Linked DNA regions of Mytilus edulis. The protein of the gene in region 1 purifies or fractionates together with the protein of each later gene. This does not show direct contact. Links are inferred from orthologs where the notes say so. Each region holds a gene or a part of one and is shown on either strand. Other genes may lie near its edges.

The links. Proteins that work in one complex are often made in the same cells at the same time.
Region 2: the proteins of PHD finger protein 14-like (region 1) and high mobility group protein 20A-like purify together in Homo sapiens (affinity purification with mass spectrometry; 3 studies listed by BioGRID and IntAct, counting the BioPlex papers as one, with this or other methods). This does not show direct contact. The link is inferred for Mytilus edulis from reciprocal best matches to the Homo sapiens genes PHF14 and HMG20A.

Annotation. Positions count from the first base shown.
Region 1 is NC_092345.1:55,178,022-55,185,911, forward strand, and holds the start of PHD finger protein 14-like, read right to left. Parts: upstream 3,056-7,890; 5' UTR 2,950-3,055; coding exon 2,889-2,949; intron 1-2,888. Other genes in the region: uncharacterized protein, read left to right, coding at 3,627-3,743. UniProt on the Homo sapiens protein: Histone-binding protein. Binds preferentially to unmodified histone H3 but can also bind to a lesser extent to histone H3 trimethylated at 'Lys-9' (H3K9me3) as well as to histone H3 monomethylated at 'Lys-27' (H3K27ac) and trimethylated at 'Lys-27' (H3K27me3).
Region 2 is NC_092345.1:104,507,750-104,515,335, reverse strand, and holds the start of high mobility group protein 20A-like, read left to right. Parts: upstream 1-4,568; 5' UTR 4,569-4,717; intron 4,718-7,586. UniProt on the Homo sapiens protein: Plays a role in neuronal differentiation as chromatin-associated protein. Acts as inhibitor of HMG20B. Overcomes the repressive effects of the neuronal silencer REST and induces the activation of neuronal-specific genes.

The sequences.
Region 1 (7,890 bases):
GTAAAGATTATTTTAATTTATCAGTTGGTAGTAAAAAGTGAATATACATTGTATATTGTATATAACAAAGATTTAAGTTGATTCTGGACAAAGAAAGATAACTCCAATTAAAAAAAAATCTTGCTATTGCACAATATTTTGCAATTAGATATTTCTTTCTTACTATTCTGGACAAAGAAAGATAACTCTAATTAAAAAAAAAATTGCTATTTCACAATATTGTGCAATTAGATATTTCTTGCCATTGCGCAATACTGTGCAATTGAAAAGACTTGCTATTGCACAATACTTAATATAATAATTTTAGATCCTGATTTGGACCAACTTGAAAACTGGGCCCATAATAAAAAATCTAAGTACATTTTTGGATTCAGCATATAAAAGAACCCCAAGATTTCAATTTTTGTTAAAATCAGACTAAGTTTAATTTTGGACCCTTTGGACTTTAGTGTAGACCAATTTGAAAACAGGACCAAAAATGAAGAATCTACATACACAGTTAGATTTGGTATATCAAAGAACCCCATTTATTCAATTTTTGATGAAATCAAACAAAGTATAATTTTGGACCCCGATTTGGACCAACTTGAAAACTGGGCCAATAATCAAGAATCTAAGTACATTTTTAGATTCAGCATATCAAAGAACCTAACTGATTCATTTTTTGTCAAAATCAAACTAAGTTTAATTTTGGACCCTTTGGACCTTAATGTAGACCAATTTGAAAACGGGACCAAAAGTTAAGAATCTACATACACAGTCATGACAGTTAGATTCGGCATATCAAAGAACCCAAATTATTCAATTTTGATGAAATCAAACAAAGTTTAATTTTGGACCCTGTGGCCCCTTATTCTGTTGGGACCAAAACTCCCAAAATCAATACCAACCTTCCTTTTATGGTCATAAACCTTGTGTTTAAATTTCATAGATTTCTATTTACTTATACTAACGTTATGGTGCGAAAACCAAGAAAAATGCTTATTTGGGTCCCTTTTTGGCCCCTTATTCCTAAACTGTTGGGACCTAAACTCCCAAAATCAATACCAACCTTCCTTTTGTAGTCATTAACATTGTGTTTAAATTTCATTGATTTCTATTTACTTAAACTAAAGTAATTGTGCGAAAACCAAGAATAATGCTTATTTGGGCCTTTTTTTGGCCCCTAATTCCTAAACTGTTGAAACCAAAACTCCCAAAATCAATCCCAACCGTTCTTTTGTGGTCATAAACCTTGTGTCAAAATTTCATAGATTTCTATTAACTTAAACTAAAGTTATAGTGCGAAAACCAAGAAAATGCTTATTTGGGCCCTTTTTGGCCCCTAATTCCTAAAATGTTGGGACCAAAACTCCCAAAATCAATACCGACCTTCCTTTTGTGGTCATAAACCTTGTGTTAAAATTTCATAGATTTCCATTCACTTTTACTAAAGTTAGAGTGCGAAAACTAAAAGTATTCGGACGACGACGACGACGCCGACGCCAACGTGATAGCAATATACGACGAAAGGTCGTATAAAAATGGCGTCGGGCTACAAAAAACGATGAAGGTTTGAACGATGGTGGAAGACAATTTAACGATGGTGCAAGACAATTTAACGATGGCGCGAGTCATTTGACGATGGCGCAAGACATTTGAACGATGGTGGGGCGCCATCGTTAAACAGGCCATGGAGATCCCTGCCTTCTCGTAAATATACGTTGATAGTGGGTCTTCCAATGGATAGAAACAAGTGCCTGTGTTAGGGATGCCTAGAATGACTTTGATGTGTTGCATTTCTTATTTTTTTATCCTGCCAATTTCCTTTTAGTCCGAGATTACTCTGACGTCCAACGGCTGTTTTGACAGACAAGCTGGGGCCGTGGGACGTCAGAGCTCGTCCCATATCAAAAAGTGGATATTTGCCCACCCAAAATAGATGCGCTGCTTCATCGCTTCAGGTGCAGATTGAGGGCCTTGGAATTATATAAATCGGGCATCAATCTGTTCATTTTTCATTTATCTCTTCATTTATGTAAGTTTCACCTACCTGCCAACCTTTATTTTTCCATATTTTAACAGTTTTCACAGAGACCCATCGATTTCTGCATTTTGACTTTCATTTTCAAATATTACCACGTGACTACGAGAAAACAGTGCAAATGACCATAATGTAAAACCTCGTTCATTTACGATGCAAGTTATCTAAGTGTCCGAGAGCTTCCAACTGTTACCGTGGTCGGAACTAAATGCTTAATACCGATCTCCTGTAAAGGAGGTGAAAAATCGTGGTTGGCTCCTAAATGTTAAACATCGATCTCCTATGAAGGAGGTGAAAAATATAAATATTTGCATATTTGAGTCTCGAGACCATGAACTCTCTCGTAACTTTGACGTCCATTTGAAAGTGAAAGTCAGAATGCAGAAATCGATGGGTCTCTGTGAAAACTGTTAAAATATGGAAAAATAAAGGTTGGCAGGTAGGTGAAACTTACATAAATGAAGAGATAAATGAAAAATGAACAGATTGATGCCGATTCATATAATTCCAAGGCCCCCAATCGGCACCTGAAGCGACGAAGCAGCGTATCTATTTTGGGTGTGCAAATATCCATTTTTTAATATGGGACGAGCTCTGACGTCCCATGGCCCCAGCTTGTCTGGCAAAACAGCCGTTGGACGTCAGAGTAATCTCGGACTAATTTCCTTTATGTTAGTTTATTCTCATATTATAATACACAAATTATCATGCTGCTAAGCGTCTCAACATGACATTTTTTTACTCAAAACTACTGTCCTTCTTTATTCATCCTAGCTAGCCCCATAAATATCAAATTGTTTGAACCTGAGACTAGTACTATAACAGTAGTAGTAGTCTCAGTTTGAACCAACTGCAATGCACGTACACATTGTTTTGTATAGAAATTCGACACTTGGGTCAACATCTTCTGATAATGTCTCCTCCATGCTCCTTGCTTTTGTATGTCTTTGCTTTCTTTGACTTTGCTATAAGAAGTTTAAAATAACGAAAACCGGTAAACAATCGAAATTCTGTTCGATTGACTGTGATCAGTGTATTTAAAGTTTGTATTTGCAAAAGTCAGTTTTCAGTTTTAATAAGAACATTAATGACTTAGAAAAGTCTAAGACAATTTCGTACCATATTCATTGCGTACCGGCCCACTTCCAATATTTCCACCTGTGACCTTGCTACCAATGAATCCAACGTTTTTCAGCCGATGAAGACAAGAGATAATATAACATAATTTACTCGCGACTAAGTTTGTTTAGATTTTACACACGGAATTTATTTTTTCAAAATCAACATTAAAATGTTTTCTTGTTTCGTTCCTCTGTTCGATAGGCCGAACAGTAATTGGTCCGAAATAATGTACTGATATAGTCTTGAATAAAATGTTTTTACACCTGAAAACCTTAAAATTGCAAACTGATCACAATCCTATCCTTAAAATCAATAAAGAAATCATAAATTTGTCACTTTTTTGACAAAACTATATTCTTACCTTTCTTTACTTTCTTCTTGAGTAGAGATTTCAAAACAACTTCCTGTGTCCTCTAGTGGTGCTCGTCGTTCTTCACGATTTAAGAAACTCTGAATATATATATCCCACTTTGCCCTCAACATGGGAGGTGGTGGTCCGAGACATCCACATGTATCTGGAGAAGGAAACTGGGGAAATTACACTAAAGGGACCTTTATACATTCCCTAAGCAAGAGGAAGGTTCTTCACCATTATTCGGTATGACCTATAAATTCAGTTCTGTACTAGTATTTACACTACAGACATACAGCTTTATTTATAGTCTACAAACAAACAATTGCAAACATAAAAGCTTTAAAACAAATAAAAAAGAACTGAAAACAATAAACACTATACATACTACACAGGAGTATGTTCACAGGCACTTGTTTCTATCCATACGAAGGTCGACTATCCATATAAATAGAAGAAGGTGGCTAACGAAATTTTTTTTAGGTCACGACAGTCTCCGCTTGGGACGCTTTTTCTACCCTTCAACTTAATGCTAAAAATCCCTACCTTATATGAATCGATTCAGTGAATATTTTCCTTTAACACTAAACTAATTTCATAATCCCCACAGTGTTCCTCTTCACGGTAATCTACTCTCAATTCACTAAACCATGTCCAAAAGTTCAACTACCATCTTTCCAATGTATCTACTTCCGGTTGTGGGCAGAATGCTATCTTTTTAAAAACGAAATGATTCTGTCAAATTACCAGTTTATTATTTTCATTATCAATATATTTTTAAAGATGAAATTTCACCGAAATAAGTACATTTATTGTTGTTATTAAAAAAATCAGAAAGTCAGAAACTAATTTGAATGAATTCGATAATACTAGAGAATTCCGAATGTATATGGTAACTCTAAAGAATTTCATCGATCTTTTATTTTGGAGGTAAAAAACGTATCAGAATTAGGGGAAAGAAACTGAGTCAATGAAAACAAAATAAATTTACTGCGATGTTAACCGGAAGTAGATACATTGGAAAGATGGTAGTTGAACTTTTGGACATGGTTTAGTGAATTGAGAGTAGATTACCGTGAAGAGGAACACTGTGGGGATTATGAAATTAGTTTAGTGTTAAAGGAAAATATTCACTGAATCGATTCATATAAGGTAGGGATTTTTAGCATTAAGTTGAAGGGTAGAAAAAGCGTCCCAAGCGGAGATTGTCGTGACCTAAAAAAAATTTCGTTAGCCACCTTCTTCTATTTATATGGATAGTCAACCTTCGTATGGATAGAAACAAGTGCCTGTGAGTATGTTACAATTTGCTGAGTTTACTATCCATACGAACCCTTAAAAATCACAAGGTAGGAAGCAACCATACATTTTTGATAGTGTACATAATATAGACAGACAAATGTTGATTCAAATCAGACCAGTAGGTGCAATGTAATATGAGGCAGGCATTACCTGTCTGTGAAAGGGTATGAAGTCTGTATGAATTATTTTTTTGTAACTTCAAAATCTGTTACAAAAAGAAATGGAAACACCGTACATAACGTCATTTCCGATTTTGGTTGTGTTGTCAGGGATTTTACTTGTGACGTAATTTAAGTTATGCAGGGGTCACCACACCAGGCGAAGTGGGCGACAAAGTCGCTCTAGGTCTCCCCACTTCGCTCTAGAGAAGCCAGACCTGCCAACTATCCTGATTTTCGCGGTATCATCCCGATTTTTATCCCTCAACCCGAATCCCGATATCGGGATTGTAAAATTAGTCAAAATCCCGATTTTCACCAACTTTACCCGAAAAAATTGTTGTTTACCGTTAAAGTCTTTCTAATCAATTTGAAAAATCTATAATTTTACCTGGGGACATATTATGACAAGTTAACGACCCTACGCTAATTAACAGTCACAACAGGTGTCATAATTACTGGTTGTATGTAATCAGATTACCTAATGGGTCGTAATAGTTCTCAAAATTAATTTGTATACACAAATTTGGTCAAACAGCCTTTCAATTTTAATCAATTTTATATCATACCAGCACAATTTGCAACTTTGCCGTAGTTCCACAACAAAATCATAATTAATTGAAAGTTGAGAACTGTAATGAACTCTCAAGAAAACATCGTTTATCTTGAAATCCGTTTAATTTTTGAAACCAGACGACGAATGTCTGTTTGAAAATCAACGCCATTTTGTATTCTCTTCTACTGTGTTACTGAATAAGCCTCTGCCAGTAAGAGCACCTCTGAATACAAAGAAAGATAACTCAAATTTTATCCATTTTCTCTGATAAGACTATAAGACTATAAGTATAAAGAGTAAATCAAAATCTGTCTTCATCCTTCTAACTTTAGGGCATGTAGTTTTAGGTCTTTTGATTCAAGGTTCATAGATAAGAAGGTCTTTAGAGGGGGAAAAAGGGGGGTGGGTCTCTACTTTGAATCCTTTATTTTTAATGCCATTTTTCTCTATTCTTCAGTTATTTTGTCAATTTTATAATTTAATAGTACAAGAATCATGCAAATAAAAAAAAATGAGGGCATTCAAGCTCATCATTATTATACCAAAAGAAAAAAGAAGAGAACTTAAGACTTTTAGGAGAGAAAAAATGCACACAGAAAAGTTGCTAAAATTGTAACCCTTAAAAATCTGGTCGAGCGCTAAATCCCACATGGAGATTTTCAAAAGTTGGCAGGTCTGCTCTAGAGAAGCTCCCGGGAGAAGTTTATGTCTCCCTCGATTTTCAGTAAAATTCCCCAATGTTGCCTCATGATTTTTGAGAAATTCTCTATTCAAACGTAAACGACAGATATGTATTGAAATACAAAGCTTGTTTTCCCCAAATTCAGAACTGATTTATCCGCAATAGTATCATACGTCAACATAAAAATTGCATGCCCGGGTGTACTATAAGCTAGAAAAATAAAAAAATTTCGATTTTGTTATGATTTCTTATTGTCCGCCATCTTTGTTATTGAAAATTGTAGATGGTGCCATTTCATGTTTTCAACTCATCATTTACCTAATACATATTGATATGCACTATTAATTTTGATTTTCTTATATTTACTGACAATATGTGATGCCCCATACAATTTTTTTTACAGATTTCTTTTCAAAAACAATATTATTAACTGGTATCCGCTTGTATTTATACTACGTAGGTAGTTTAGTACACTACTGTGAACCAGCACAATGATTATAAACTAAAAAAACGCAGTCGATTGTTCGTTCATGATTTTGTATTATTGCAGACAAATAGAAATATAAAATTGAAAGCAACACTTTTGATAATTTCTCGTGTCCGAAGCTCTTTTCTGGATTTACCTTCATCAGGAACGCTCAAAGGTGTATATAAATATGTGGTATGCCAAACATCTAAAAACTTGCGAATACTGGTTAAAAACAAAAAAAACAAAATAATTTCATATTACCGGAAAACTCTCAACTTAATGACTTATTTAAATTTGGTTGATAGAGCTCATATTGATTTTAAAGAATACTATTTGAGACAAATGACACCTCTTGATCATAATATTGGGAACAATCTGCTTAATCCAACATATTTTTCTGGTCCCCCAGTGTGCAGTGATCTGGAAGGTTTTTTTTACTATGGGCCCAGGGCCCCTCAAAAATGAATTCAATGGGCCATTTAAAAAAATAATGGGCCATGTTGTCAAATGAGTGGGCCATTTGAATTGACTTGTGTAAAAAAAAAAAAAAAAAAAAAGTATCAGTATATTTTGGCAAAGAGGTGTTGGTACTTTGTTCCTGTGATTTTGTAATTTCAATTTCAATGAATATACAATAACTTCTTCCAACCCCAACAATAATTAAGTTAACCTTTATTTACAATGTTTAAACTGGTACTGTTGCCTTGTTCATGTTCATGGTTTTTTTTTGTATATTAAATTTGGGTCTTCGTCGATACCATACTTATTCCAGACGTTCCATATCAGACGACATTTCAGGCATTTCCTCTGCACTTCTTGTATTATTAAAACGTCATCACGGTGACAAGAATAACAGTATAGAGTACCATGAATTCATTGAACAAAACAACAAATCGCTGAAGTCATGTTTACAAAATGTCAAAACGAGCCAAAGACCAAAAAATTACCAGGACAATAAAGCGTCTTTTATGGAGACAAAAACTATATTCCTAAAAAGTCTTTGGGGTTCTTTAATCGAAATAATAACAAGCTAAACTATATGAGATTATTATTAGAGTTAGATCTCGTCTGTACTAGCCAAATTTCACAAATGTAAAGTTGTTTACAAAAAAATATATATCATGAATGATGCTTAATTACGTTTTTCGGGTTATCAGTTAGACCGCATGGTTCTATTATTACAATAGGAAAACACCCGAGATGTTACATCGCATGGTTCTATTATC
Region 2 (7,586 bases), about 49 Mb from region 1:
AGAGTTTATTTAAATATTTTTTTAAATTGTATCAATTTGAAATACTGCAATTTGTATGATTTTGGGAAAGGGGTGCACAAGAAGGAAGGATGGGTTTGTATTCAAATTCTAAAAAAAAATCATTACTTTTTTAAAAGGTATAATAAAGTTCTGATGTTGTCTTTATTATTCCCCTGCTTAGAGAAGCATGATTTAGTGATGTTTTTTTCAGTTGTTTCATTCATTTGCTTGTATGATCATTCATGGATGTGCTCATTACAAATTGTCTGCCATTTTAAGAAGACTCATCTTTAAGGAATGACTGGGTTCCTATTAATCCAGCAAGTATCTTATATTTTATTCATCCAATTGTCTTCCTGTATTTAAAAGATACTTTATAAAATTATATGTCTATTAATTTCAATTAGTTTATTCCTATCTGAAACTGTTTCTGACAAAAAAGAAAACATGATATAAGTATGTTGACCACACATCTTTGTTCTGACTTTCTTGAAATATACACTGTTCTTACCATGCTTAAGTTTTATATTTTGATGGTGAAGTCAAGTTTGCACGAAAAATATATGTCTTTAGATATTTTCTGTCTATAATATTGTTTTATTTATTATAGAATGTGTGTATCTGATAGCCTTATGTCATCAATAAAATTCTGTGTCATGGTTCAATTTGTTATTGGATGTCCGTCCATAAAATACTTATTTATTTTTTAATATGTATAATGATAGAATGTTTAACAAAGAAATTGTTATAGCCCTTGATTGTCTTTTATATTAAACCCCACTCAATTTGCAATCACCTTGTTCCTCTGTTTGACCAGAAAATATGTTTGATATGTCTGTACAATGACTACATAATTATTGGAATTGGTAAACATAACAAACTGTTCAATTTGAAAGACATGTTTTTCCACAGAGCTTTCGATATGCATTATCAAGGCATATCATTGGTTCTTGGCACAGCTGTTTGTTTGGATGTGTTAGACACACCCTTTTTGTTGACCTATATTCAATGTGATAAATGAATTAAAATATTTTGTCATACATTTCTTTGTTGAGCAACAGGCATTTCTCATTTGCTTATTGTATCTGTCAGAAAACTATCTGCTTGTTCTTTTTTGATACTCTGAACTACAATAGGAGTATAGCTAGCACAACAAGATTTGCAACCTTTTGTTTATTTTTTTTAGTTTAATGTTTGTACTTGAAATCTGTTACATTTGTGACAGAGTGACTGCCCATGATTATATGTATTTCTTAACTTAGGTTATATATATGATGTTTTATATTTATATATATTTGTATATTTTGATTACTGCTGAACAACATACTGCTGAATAATCTTAATATGACCTTGGTTAACTCGAGGGCTAAAAGTTATCCATGTGTATTTAAATTTACAAAACAAAGAGCAAGGGGATCATATCAAAATGCTTTAAATGAAATATACTATGTTTTCCTCAAAAAGTGAAAATCTATATGCATTGATTTTATAATTTTCATTATCACTATTTTGGGAGTATGGTATTCAGGCTTGCTTTGATGTCTTTTTAGATGTGTTTTGCAGAGTTACAGGTCTTTTATTGTCAAGAAATTAGAAAATATTTTATTTTCGTTAATACCAGCTTTCTTAAATTAAAAAAAAAAATGGAATCGTCCTGGATACAGGATTATGTTGTTTTCTAAAATTCTCGTTAATGTCAATCTCAAAATCCATATAACTGTTAGTACCACAGATATGATTTTATGCTATTAATTTAACATTTTGTGTATTGTAATTGTGAACTTCAGTTGTAGTGCTTTAAACAAATGTGTATTAATCTTTCTGTTTTTGTGCCAATAATACTTATCAAACATGTTAAAAACATTCTCTTATAATTCAACTTGTAGAAAATTGGTTAAACCTTAAATATGTTGTCTGACCCGAAGTGATATTATATTGTAAACAATATTACTGAAAGACTAATAAATGTGATATTTTATTTCTATAATATTTATTTGATTTATTGCTTTAAATGATTAAAGAATTATTTTAATGAATTATTTACAATAAATGATATTTTAAGATAAATTTGACTTTGTTTAAATCAATTTGTATAACAGCTACAAAAGTAAAGATGAAATAAGCTCACAGTATAATTGCAAAGATGAAAAGAAACCAATTAAAAAAGATCAGTTAAAGAAGAAACATTACTACACGGACAATACCATAGCCAGTAGAAAAAAGACAAAAACACTAGAGTGGGGGGCCCATATTCGCCGGGGACACAATTTCACCGTTTTATGATTTTGAGGTGTTAACACTTCACATGATGGCTGAAATGGAAGAATTATGCCGATAAATTATAATTTTATAACAAATATGATTATTTTTTAAACTTAAACAAAATTACAACACTTACTGCAAAAGATAGAAAAACAGACAACGATTTTCGGTCAATTTCCTGAATGAAAAACAGGATTTTCAAAGATTTTTTTCTTAGCATTTTTTTGACTGATTGGCCTAAATTTCTGTTTTTTTACACCTTTGAAATGTCTGCTGTTCATCTATAATGAAATTTATATGATGAATATTATATAAAGCTGCAGTTTTTTGGTTTTAAATAGATGTGTAAAAACGGCGAATATGTGTCCCCCATTGACAAAACTTCAGGAAATTTCAAACACCTTTTAATCTAACTTTACAGATGATTATTTTCAAACAAACATGTTTTCAAGCTTAGGAATGTTTTGCATTTGAAGTTATCTTCATATAGAAATATCAGTATACTTCAAAAACATATAGACCTGAACATAAACTGTAGAAAACATCGAAAGATATGGCGAAAATGAGCACCCCACTCTATCATAAACAAAACTTTACACAGAAACATAAATAACATTATAGGCAGTAAAAGCTAGACAAATACACAGTCAGCCATAAGAATTCATTACAACAAATTGCTTTTGGTATTCATAAAGGTTTTAAAGACATTACTTCACCATTATCTTTAAAACATCTTTTACATTTCTCTATACGCATTAACTCTTTATCAACAAATGTCACTTTCACTATATACAATAACCTTACATCAATTATAAAGCTATTAAGTTCATAAATTGTCCTTAATTTTTTTTTAAGCTTAATACATATTTTCTTATGACAAAGACTGTAAAGAGGCTGTTGTTGATCATTAATTTTGTCTGGTGTTGCTGATAAACAACTTGCCAATTTGTAGTTTGAAGCAAAATAAAAATATTATGTAGTCTTTCAAAAGTAAATTTTTGTCTTGGCATTTGAAAAAGATCCTGTGTTCCTGTTTATGATGTTGCTGTCCTTTGAGCCTGCCTTCATTATCTAATTACTAATGATTAAGAGCATGGCATAGCGTAACGACACCAGTCTATTGAAAATAGGAAGGTAGCTAGGGGGATTTAAGAGGGCAGGTGGCCTGGCCCCCTTATGGAGGTTCATGATTATATAATAAATGTATAAACCTTTTCAAAATTATCACTCCATACATTGGCTTTGTAAGCCTGCTCTTCCTTTTTCAAAATCCAAAATCCACCCCTGGTAGCAAACATTTGAATTTTCTGTAAGCAAATATTTCAATTTTTATGAGATGTTTAAAAACTTTATTCATTAAAATTTACTGGACTAATACATAACAGTATATTTGGGTGAAATGCACTAATTTTTCAAAGAATATTGGATCGACACATTAAAAGGGCATTGGCTGTCAATTTCAAGTTCACGAATTTGACTGAAAATCTCATATTCTTTTTAACATTCTTAAACATATATCCAATTTATGAAAAGTCTAAAATAAACAATTTACAAGGCATGGGCTCAATAATATGTACCATAGTTTTGTTTGTATTTTAGTCTAGAGGCCATCTAACTATTGAAGACCTTTGAAGACATATAAGCAATATAAACATATATTTAGATATAAATAGAAAGTGAACTCGTCACAATTGGATTTTTGTATGTCTGTTTAATTTCACATTGAAGTTTAAGAAAATGTGTTAATCATAATTTTTACCTGTATAAAAATGAGTTTTGGGGGATGGAATCAGTCAAACAAATAGTTTACCTTAGTTTCACTTTCAATGTTGACATTCTTTTCCTTTTTATAACTAACATGCATAATTCATAGTGATCCATCTCTTTCTATGGTGTTAATTGATGGTCACACAAATCTGAGACTTCTATAACACATAGTAGTCTCAGCATGAATACAAATACAATGAGCTCGAATTTTTCACTTGCAAGTGAATAACTCATCATGATGTTTCTTAGTTTATTTTTACCAAATTGAACCATACTGAGTGATAAAGGCAAATTATTATTTCAAAATTTCACATTGACATAAGTTGGGGGATTTTTTTTTTTATATATGTATACATCTTGCAGCATCTTACTTAAATGCTATCAACTAAATTACCATTTTCAATGCCTCTCATTTGGGGGCGTCATCCTGGACCACTGAAATTCACTTTAGCATCTCTTATATGAAAAAATGTTTTAAAGAAATCATATAATAAAGGAAAAGGGAGATAACATTTTTTTCTAGGCCATTCTTGTGCGTTGCATTTTATAAATTTAAATTGTCATTGGTTGTACCTTTTTCGGGTTGTCTCGGGGTTTACCATAAAATTTTATTCAGAAAGCATTTTGGCCATTGTTTATTTTGTTCCCGTACTTTATTTTTGAACGTAATTTTCTTTATTATAAAAAGGTATGTACTGTTAGAATTTGATATGACATGCATATTTGCGTTGCTCTGAACATGAATGTATGTAACGTGACGGTACCCAAATTGCACCTATTTTGACAGTTTTTTCATCTACGTTTTTTTATGATAAAGACAACAATGTCTATTCTGTGTTTATTTTGTAGCCGTATCCTTCTTTATCAAAAAGGTACACCAATTTGATTTTTATTCCATATGGAAGCATAGAAAAACTGGTCTAAACTGACCTCCAAACCAGCAATGATTCTGAAATGAGGAGTACCCAAATTGCATCCATGCTTTAATTCACATCGTCAAAAGTCTAATAACAGAGCTTTTGTTTAATTTCTTCAAATATTTCGAACAATTGGATATTAGTACCTGCTTAATCTTCATTTTTTTTTAAATGGATACTTGTAACATATTGTATTTGCTCATTTTAAAAAGATGACGTCGCAGTACATTTTGCTTTTTCAGTAAACACTTTATCTGTTGATAAATACTGTGAACGTTTTGGGCATATCTTAAAAGTTTTACCCTTGCTGAAAGATGTGCTTAGTATCAAATCATAAAAATACAAATTGTTTAGTCTCTATGAAATCTTGTAAGATTTCCGCTGCTATTTTTGCTAAATAGGTGCAATTTGGGTACTCGGTGCAATTTGGGTACCGTTACGTTAGGGTTTTACCCTCCTTTTATAATGAACACCACTTACTTGCTGTAAAGAAAAATATTAAACCAAAAAGTAAACCTGTTACCAAACAAAAGTGTCAAAACAAAAAACCACGATGGCCATGTGGTACATGCCTAAAAGCAGTAACCTGGAATCAAAAGGCACTATGCTGCGACAGCTGCGATACTTGGTTTCACATTAACTGTCAGAGTATTCCATCTCACATCTACGAGTGTATGAATGCTAGTAATATTAGCTGGGAATGCACAAATTGTGGAATGCCAAATTTCTCCACTAGCTTATTCAATAACCAATCAAGCATATCATTAAATTCTAGTAGTAACTGGAGTATGAGTGATACATCACTCAATAACAGCCTAGGTGCTCCTCAGGCATCTTCATCGCCTATGGTTAAGACTAAATCAAAACCGAAAGTCAAAACATCACAAAAAGCCACTACTAAAAATCAAAAACCTATCAGGATACTTAACCTAAACTTTCAATCGATACGAAATAAAAAAGAAGATCTCAATCAGTTAATTGATTCATCTAAACCTGATATAATCATAGGCACTGAAACATGGCTAGACAAAAATATATCATCATATGAATTCTTTCCATCAGAACTATTTAATGTCTATAGATCAGACAGACCACCAAAAAAAAATAACCAAAGTCATGGAGGTGTACTTATTGCTATTAATAAAGAACTTATAAGCACAGAAGTAAGCGAACTTAAAACTGACTGTGAAATAGTTTGGTCTCAAATAAACATGACTGGTAGTAAGAACTTGTTAATAGGTGCATATTACAGACCACCATCAGATAAAGGAACATCTTTACAACAACTAGAACTATCACTTAGTAGAATCAACCAATCATCAAATACTAATATCATGATTGGTGGTGACTTTAACCTAGGTCATATTGACTGGTCTATACCTCAGGTCATACCGGGTAAACCGGACGCTGAACATCATAATAAACTTTTAGAATTACTAGAAAATTTTAACCTTCAACGAATAGTTAATACACCAACTAGAAAAGAAAGAATATTAGACTTAATCCTAGTTAACAATCCAACAACTGTTAACAAAGTAAACACACTTCCACCACTAGGACTAAGTGACCATGACATCGTCTACATAGAAATTGACACTTGGCTTCGTAAAATCAGACAACAACCTAGAAAAATACTCAAATACGACAAAGCGAACTGGGAAAACATAGAAGCAGACCTTCAAAAAACACTCGAAGAGCTTACTGTTATGAATAACAACAACAACAGTACTATAAACGAAATGTGGGATTTATTTAAAAACAACATCACAAAATCAATAGATACAAACATCCCACATAAAATGTTAACATATAAACACCGACTTCCCTGGGTGCACAACACACTCAGAAAAATGATAAATAAAAAGAATAAATTGTACTCTAAAATGAAAAAGGACAAAAAGCATATACTTAAATATAAAAAACTTAAACAACAAGTCCAACAAGAACAGAGACGTGCCTATTGTACATACATAGAAAAAATGATCCTTGACCTTCCAACAAATGACCCTGACCAAAGTTACAGCAACCAATCAAAACCGAAAAAACTCTTTTCTTACATTAAATCCATCAGAACTGACAATAGTGGAGTTGCTCCCCTGAAAAAAGAGGGACAATTAACAACTGATACAAAACAAAAAGCCAACATTTTAAATGAGCAATTCCAATCAGTCTTTACCACCGAAACAGCAAGTAATATGCCTGATAAAGGACCAAGTCCTCATCCAGTCATTCCATCACTCACAATTACAACACCTGGCATACAAAAACTCTTAAACAACATCAATCCGCACAAAGCCACTGGCCCAGATAACATCAGCGGCAGAGTTCTAAAACAACTTCAAAACATAACGGCACCTATCCTCACCATTATTTTCCAGAAATCGCTTACATCTGGCTGTATACCATCTGACTGGAAACATGCAAATGTCGCACCAGCATACAAAAAAGGTGAAAAATACAACGCAGTTAACTACAGACCAATCTCTCTCACTTGTATCAGTTGCAAACTAATGGAACATGTCATAACAAAACATTTAATTAATCACTTAGAAAAAAACAATTTATTATACGACCTCCAGCACGGCTTCAGACACTCTAGATCATGTGAAACACAACTTCTATCTTTTATACAAGAACTGG